Linked DNA regions of Daphnia pulex. The protein of the gene in region 1 purifies or fractionates together with the protein of each later gene. This does not show direct contact. Links are inferred from orthologs where the notes say so. Each region holds a gene or a part of one and is shown on either strand. Other genes may lie near its edges.

Region 1 (4,160 bases):
TAATCTGTCAGCTGTGCCAAAAGAAAAACACATTTTTCAGATGTCATATAAATGGTAAGAACACCAGACAATCACTTTGCATTAAATGATGACATGCAGTCTTTCAAGCATTCCACCACATATATGTAAATATTAAATGTTGCTTGTACTTTATCAAATTAAGAAAAAAATTATTTTCACAATTAAATTGAGTAAAACCTATAATTGGAATTAGTTAACCGACATATCGTAAATTCAGAATGAATCTGTGATGTTCATGCATGCCTTATTTGATAGATAGAATTATGATGTAGCCTAAAACTTGATAGCAGTTTGGTGGGAATATTCAAAAATTTGAGCTGCATTCTGATTCAACACATTAAACCCCCTAACGGTGATTTTTTTTTCTATTTCTACAATATAAATGGAGCAGAGTCTGCTTAGGAGGCAACAGACAACTATCTAGGTTGCATCATGGGTTGCATATATTCCGAAAACCAAACGTCCTTTGACATTGACAAACCTATCCAACTCTCGGTGCAGCCAAGTCGTGCATATCACTGTTTTTTTTTTCTATTTTACAGCTTGATAGTTGATACGATACAAGAGAGGAAGCAAAAAGAAGTGAATGCCAAAAATATGCACAGGTCACAGATTCTCACCATTGGCATCGTCATTGCCCTGTAGTCTGCAGGAATTCTCCTTCCGGGGGCTACTCTAAATTGTAATAACTGTCTGCTGATTTCCTCATACAAATTCGATTACCTAATTTACTACTAAGAATTCATTAAAAAGTTTATTTATTGTATTCAATTTTGAATTTGCTCAGTTTTTATGTAGAACTACTCACTACCCCTGGATGATTAGCCAGGGAGTCAGGGACTGCTGTCAGAACCACTGTACCGTTATTTTATTGTTTTATTTTTTTCACTTCCTTAGACTTTGAGTATACATCGTGCAATGCCCTTATATCAGTTAAGGATAACTTGTAGAAATATAATTTCCTTTGTTAATACGATTCTTCCCAGTTCCTACCTACGCATCTAACAATCGAAAATTTCTGTTTGGATGGCGCAGAAGATGCCTCTAGAACTAGGAGAAAAAGCTACAGTTTCTTATGAAGATGGCGTTTATGAATAGCTCGCTAGGGGGTGAGGGTGGGGGCGGGGTGGGGTCGGGATCGTCCACCAGAGAAAAAAAAAACAATTGCGGGATTTTTATTAAAAGTCAGATTTTTTCGATAAGTTGGAGAAAAAATTTCGTTATCGTTGTTGCAAAAGTTGCTATAGAATATAGATTTATCGATATCGATGTTTATTTCCTCCAATCGAAAAAATACCACCAAATGACTTACAAAAAAATAGAAATAAAACATACTTCTTTGTTTTTTTCTTATCTAGTATCTAGCTCTATATAGACTCCGCCATACCTTAGAGCCATTCCAACTCGTGCAGCTGATTAAAGAGATTTGAAAATCGTTGAACAAGAAGAAACGAAAAGGGTTTCGTTAGTCGGTTGTTGGCAGCTGTAGACGGGAGAAGTGTTTTCATTTCCTACCCGGTGCGTTAGCAATAGACTTGTGGACTTTCTATTGTTAGATTTTTTTTTTCAAATTGCTTCATGACATACCGATTTTTCACGAATCAAATTTGTTACCTTAATTTCGTCACCATTGATTTGTTTAAATCTTTTTCTTCGATTCAATGGTCTACAATGGTGTGGTGTTTCATTGTGCGGTTAGTTTTCAATGCCGAATAGGCGTGAGTGTTATGGACTTCGATCAACCTTTCGCCTTATTAAAAGGCGCAAAGACGTGTTGAAATATTAAACAGATCAATCTACAGGTCATTCTCATCATCATGTGGCAAAGTGGCGGTATGGGCGGAAGCGCCCAAGGTGCCAAAGTTCCAACGTCGGAAAATCCAATAACAAAGATGTTAGCAGGCCTAATATGTCGACGGGCGAGTGAAAGGTAAAAGGTTTCACTTAATCATTTTAAATTTGCGTTCCTGTTTAAATGATCAAATGAAGATGTTAACCTACTCATAGCTTAGTTAGGAAACTATAAAATTTTTTAACACTATAGCTGTATAATACAAAGTGATATGTGTGATAAGTCAATTAAATTATGTCTGCAATCAGAAATTTACCATATATTTCTCCTCTCCTTCTGACAACAACACGACAAACACAAGGAAAATGAAAAATCAATAACGTCCATAGTGTTTCATAAATGATACTTATGGTTTAATAAGTAACCCGTAGATAACAGTTCAACTGCATTCTTGAAAAAAGTGCAAAACAATGCCTAATGAAAACAAAACAAAGTTGTGACCTGAAGAGTGCAAATAAACTATTGAATCATTGAGTTCCTTAATCTGTTCCAGGGACAAAAAGTATTGCTTTAATCATAGGTTATATCTAGATTCAGTCATTCGTTTCTGGGTGACTTTTTGGTAGACTTCCCGCCTGTCCCATGTGTGTGCGTTTAAACGCGTGGTTATGTCCTCGGTTCTTCTCGCCTCCACCTTCCAGTGCAACTGCTAATTTTAGGACTGTCTCTGAAATACTCGTATCCTTTTTTTGGCTTGCGAACAGATTCAGAGGTACGGTACGAAAACTACAAGGTCCCGAAAAAAGATCGAGCACGCACGCAGACAAGAAATAAAAAAAGAGAGAACCAGATAGCAAGGTTTCAACAGGAAAAACAATCACGCTCATTTTTCCTTTTCTATTCGTACATACAGCCTTTACTCTTGTCACTTTTAAATGAGTTAGATTAGCTAGGCATAGAGAGAATTTCGTGTATTAAGAACCCAAGAATTCAGTGTATAAACCTCACCATAGTTAAAATCTTTCCATCATTTGGATACCGTTGTTTCCATTAATAGACGCTATGCTTAAAGGGAAACATTGATTGCGTTTCTCTACTCTACACTGTATAGCCTATTTATATCACCATATTAACAAAGGTCGGGCAAGTGCAGTATGCGTCTCATAAATAAAATCGAAGGAATTTTATATTTGCTTCGGCAATATAGACGAAACAAATCTGATATGACTGACAACCGCATCATTTAATATTATGTAAAACACAACCGTAGCTGGATTATTTTGCTAGAATTCCTAACATGGGGCACTCTTTCTGTTACTATGTTTTGCAAGGCTGCCAGCTTTAAGTCTATGTTCAGTCAGATGTTGGTTGTCCTGACTACAATCTATACATCCGACTTTTTCCAATTTTGTAACTTGAACCGTGCAGCGAAAGAATTTTTATGCAAAAATACAACTCTGCGTTTTCATTCAAGATTTTTTTCAGCTTCAAAATTAGCCCACTGTTGAGGCTTGGCTGTTGACTACGGTTGACTACCTGAAAACTTATTTCTACTCTGATATACAGCCTTATCTACAGTAGCGTTATTCCCTTAAAGAATCACATCGATCAAAAACTGTCTTCAGCTTCTTCATGGAATTCAAACGAATAAAAAAGGAAGAAAAACAAAATAATTATAAATCGGGTTATCGACTTGTTATTTGGGTGTACGAATAAAAAATAAAAAATAAATGTATTTTAAATAATTTTTTTTATTTTTTATTTTTGGACTAAAATATAGGGGTTTAAAATGTTTTTTAGTTGTCCGCGGTAGGGTTTAAGAAGTAATCCTTATTTTTTCATTAATGTTGCTGGTCAGCACTCGATTGCCAACAAGATTGATAATAAACAAATCAATTGGGACAACACTTAGTTTTTCTTTTACAAATTCCAAAAATTCTTGGAAAATTTTGTGGAAAATCTTGAAAAAACCCAAAAAGCTAAATTTTTGAATTGAATTTTCGTTTTTTCTTAAATATTTTTCCCATTTTTATTTTTAAATTTTCCGCATTTTTTTTTTTTTTTTTTAACTAAAAATATGGGGGGTGTACGAATATTTTTCGAGTTGACAACTTCCCGTTATAAATATTTTATATCGAACCTATATTGACAAAAAAAAGGGACATCGGAAAACAAGATGCTAGAACAATTATATAGTGTGTGCTGGCTTTTTGTTTTTTAATTCAATATTACAGTATAAAGTAGAAAAATGGAAAAAAAATCAAATCGGATGAAATAAACAGCAAAAAATGAGACAGAAATAAGAAAGAGGAAGAAATATAAATGGATTAATTAATTTTTAGAAAAA
Region 2 (4,085 bases), on another chromosome or scaffold:
ACGTCTACTTCGAGGAAATCGCCCGCTGCCATGGAAAATTGAGCATGGCGTGGGAGTGATGATGGATCAAGATCAGGGAAGGAAGACCCTCTGGTTACGTCAGCAGCTGATAAAGTATTGACGAACTGTTGCGTCCATGGATAAACACGAAAAGTCTCGACCCCCTGACATCTAAGAGGGAAAAAAGCGTAAACACAAAATGCATAAAGATCCTGTTGATCATCCCTACTTGTTCAAGACGAAGTTGGAGGCGAACAGCATGAAGAGACTGAACTCATTGCCTTGACAGCTGTAACCTCTTTTGGCTATCTCAAACGCCAGTCGTCCAAGTCCAGCACCGGGAACCAAAATTTGTACTTGTTCCGAGGGCCTGCAAATGGAAATAATTATTAATGAAAAACTTGTTTCAGCTAAAAGACTGTAATAATATGATAGTAACCTCTGAGCAGGTGGAAAGTTTAATTCAATTTCTTCAATAATGGGGTTATAGCACGCAGACCTTTCTTCCTCCCCATCTTTACTCCAGTCCCTTACAATTTGTTTCAGTGTAGATTGGACCTTTTCCATATCACTCATGGTTGGGTGAACCTTGGACTTGACCTGCGTAACATCAAACATTCGGCAAAAGAAATAAATCAAAGCAAAATTATTTATTTTAAGGAAAACATACTTGACCAGCATCGTGTTTGACATTTTCAAACAGCGTAGCAACATCTGCCGTGATAAGTTTGATGATTTCGTAGTTGTGCTCTACACAAGTCCTAATGTCTTCCAAGTGAGAACGATAGCTAGTGAGTAAAGTTTGATGGTGGCTGGGGAGAGACGAGACGTAAGCTTCTGAAGTGGCCAAGCGTTGCAACGAAAAAGACCTGGGATAAAAACATGTCAACCGCGAATAATAAACCACTGTAGCCGAAACCGTCGATCGAACCTGTAATAACGGAAAGCGTTAACGATTCTCTGAAAGTGTTCTTTCTCTTCGACATCGTCAGTAGGTCCGTTGTTCCCCATCATGAACGATGACCTATCCTATTCGTGTTATTATGACAATAAATATCTAAAAATTCAACCAAGAAACTCTGTTATTCCTCATCTATTTAAAAAGTTTTTCAACCTTTTCAAGTAAATTTCCAAAGAGCAGTCAAAAAATATGCTCAACGTTGTCACATCGTCATTTTATTGTCTGCATGTTTTTTTATCGCATTTTTATTTTATTTTTTAAAATCAGAAAATAAATCAAAATGGAGAACACGATTATCTCGTCATTGGCATTTATTTAAAAAATTGACAAGTGTGACACGGGATCTCTAGAGGGGTTATATATTAGCCGGACACACACTCGGAGATTTGCCATGCGCAATGGAATAAGGACGCGTACGAAACTGCTGCAGAACGCGAAGTCGCTCGACATCGATTCAATACGTTTTAGCCGTTGTAAAACACGCACTCTGGCACTCTCTGCAGCCGGGGCTTGTCGACTGCAGTGTCCCGGCTGCGTTTGATGCATTGCGGAGCTTTTGACTCTTGAGTCAGGTATAGAGCCGTTATATAGTCTTGATAGATCTACAGTGTAAAACTATACATAAACAAACCAACGAGTGTGTGTGTGTGTTACAAAGACACAAAGTCGCATCTAAACAACAGCAGAGAGCATTGTGAGAAACAAACAACAAGAATTATTTTCTTTGTATTTGAGCGTCTGTGATGCAATCATGAAGTGTCGTCCCGTCGGTGCAACCACATAACACACACACACATTCGTGCTGGTTATTTTGGATGTCGTAGAATCGCGCGAGTTGCTGTGCTGCAGTCTCCTCTCCCTTTGTGACATGTAAAACAAGAAAAATCCGTGTGTGTGTGTATGTGTGTGTGTGTGGGATTTTTTCTTCGACCGCATTTTCTGCTCACACCAAACGATGCAGGATCGCAATTTGATTGGGTTCCTTTCCGTCTTCTTCTCCATCACTTTGGGTTTGCCGTTTTCTTTTTAGTTGTTTTTCGATCCTGGCCAGCCAGCATTTTTTAAAGAGACTTTTCACTGCATCTTCCCCCTATAGAAGATGTGATCAAATTGATGATCGCCAATTGAGCTCTATATATAAACACGAGCATTTTTGATGATGCGCGCGCCTCCTAGTCTCCTAGCGAGTTGGGACAGGGGCCTATAAATAGGAGCGGTTCGCAAGGACTCACGACCTGTTTTCTCCCTTTTTGTAATTTTTGCTTTCACGAAAGGGGAAAATTTTCGGCTGGTGCTGTGGTTATCACGTGACGTGAAAAATACGATCCTTGCCAGCATTATTATTTTAAAAATTAAGTTATTGGCCGGAATTTTATTCGGGGAATGTCGAGATGATTGAAAAATCCATCAAGTCGTGGTGGATTTCATTCTCTTTTGTTCTTTTAGTTTGTCTGCAGGCCAACATCATCTCGGCCGAAGAGGAGTGCATAAGTATCATTTATTAACAAATTTTACACATTTTTAAAAAATAAATTTAATTTAACTTTGTGAAACAGACCGATCCGGCCGGACGATTTTGTGCTACGATTGCGACAGTTACCACAATCCGCTTTGTAAACATATCAATGAATCGGCTCCAATGCACGAACACCCACCTTTCAAAACTTGTAAAGGATGTTGTGTTAAAATCGTCGAACATCGCTACTCACGTACGTTACTTTAATAATCAAAATAATTGAACAAAATTCAGAAAATGATAATTTGTTTAAAAAATAATCAAAACTCAGCCAAGGAACGCGTGAGGCGGATGTGTACGGAGCAGCTGATTGTCAATTATTTCATCGTCGATCACGTCTGTCTGAAAGAAGGTAACAAACGCAAGGGGATGACTTGCTTCTGCGAGGAAGATTTTTGCAATTCGGCGATCTCAAGGCATCGCGATCTCTTCTGGGCTTATTTGGGCCTCGTCGCTGCTGTCCACCTTCTACTCCGGGTCGGATGATTTTTTGGCTTTTTTCGGGAATATATAAAACAATTCATTTTGTTTGCACTAAGTCACACCCACTCCCTTTTTAAATGAACAATGTAATAATATTAATAATTTGAATGCAAAGAAAAATACCACGCACAATAAGTCAACCCTGGCCATCTAATAACATCACGAAAAAATGAAAAAAAAAATCAAGCCTTAAGTGCTCAAAAATCCAGACAAATGGGATGACATACAATTCCGGAAAAAATGGCTATGCTGTGTGTGTGTGCGTCATCGTCGGCTACCCCCTCAAAACTCTCTCAATTCTCATTTTTGATAAGAAAATAAAAACCCCTCCAAACTGTAGAGAAAATGTTGTCAGTCAACACACAAATCCACTTTTGATGATGAACGGCGGTTTACACACAGCAGCTGAATGATTCACTATCCTTTGATTTGTTATCCCTTGCAGCCATTGTTAATAATGGATCCAGTCAATAATCTTTTTTGTCCATTTTTCAAATCTCTCTTTTCATCCTTGTTGTTTAGCCGTTTAAATGCCGAATTTTAACTGGCACGTCATCCAAATACATGCTAACGTCATCAACCTGGTTGTTCTTAATTCCTCTCCGATCGCCTAGACGTAAGTAATGATGCCTCAAATTAATTCAAGTGATTTTTTCTTTTTCTCTTTTTTGTTTTGTTTCGAAGAAATGAGAGAGAGAGAGAGAGACATCGCGGATTATATCAATAAATAAAAATCTTCCTTCCAAAAAAAAAATTAATAATAATAAACACGGCAGTTAAAAAAAAAGAAGGGGAGAGGGAAGGATATTTGAATAAATGAAGTGAGGCTGAAAAAAGATCGAAGGAGGAAATTTTAAAAAAATAATAAAAAAAAAATCAAATTACACACAAAATGCCACGAAAATTAATTATAATAATAAAATTTTGGAGAGATAAGGGGGGTGGAGGCGATTTTTGTTTAACAAAAAAAAAGAACACTCACGCGCATTATTTTTTTAAAAATTAAAAAAAAAAAGGTGGGGTAAATAGAGGAATGAAATTCTACTACGAAAAAGAAAAATTGTCCTTTTTTTTCTGATGATGGAGGAGCCGTGGGGAAATACTACACACAAACATAATTGGGAA

The links. The genes of interacting proteins can lie anywhere in the genome.
Region 2: the proteins of potassium voltage-gated channel protein Shaker-like (region 1) and protein quiver-like purify together in Drosophila melanogaster (affinity purification with western blotting, with the first as the bait; 3 studies listed by BioGRID). This does not show direct contact. The link is inferred for Daphnia pulex from reciprocal best matches to the Drosophila melanogaster genes Sh and qvr.

The regions. Positions count from the first base shown.
Region 1 is NC_060026.1:6,145,345-6,149,504, forward strand, and holds the start of potassium voltage-gated channel protein Shaker-like, read left to right. Parts: upstream 1-1,210; 5' UTR 1,211-1,838; coding exon 1,839-1,951; intron 1,952-4,160.
Region 2 is NC_060028.1:9,728,200-9,732,284, forward strand, and holds protein quiver-like, read left to right. Parts: upstream 1-1,322; 5' UTR 1,323-1,916; coding exon 1,917-1,971; intron 1,972-2,407; coding exon 2,408-2,452; intron 2,453-2,517; coding exon 2,518-2,670; intron 2,671-2,748; coding exon 2,749-2,963; 3' UTR 2,964-3,540; downstream 3,541-4,085. Other genes in the region: carnosine N-methyltransferase-like, read right to left, coding at 9-171, 230-370, 440-600, 671-869, 932-1,014.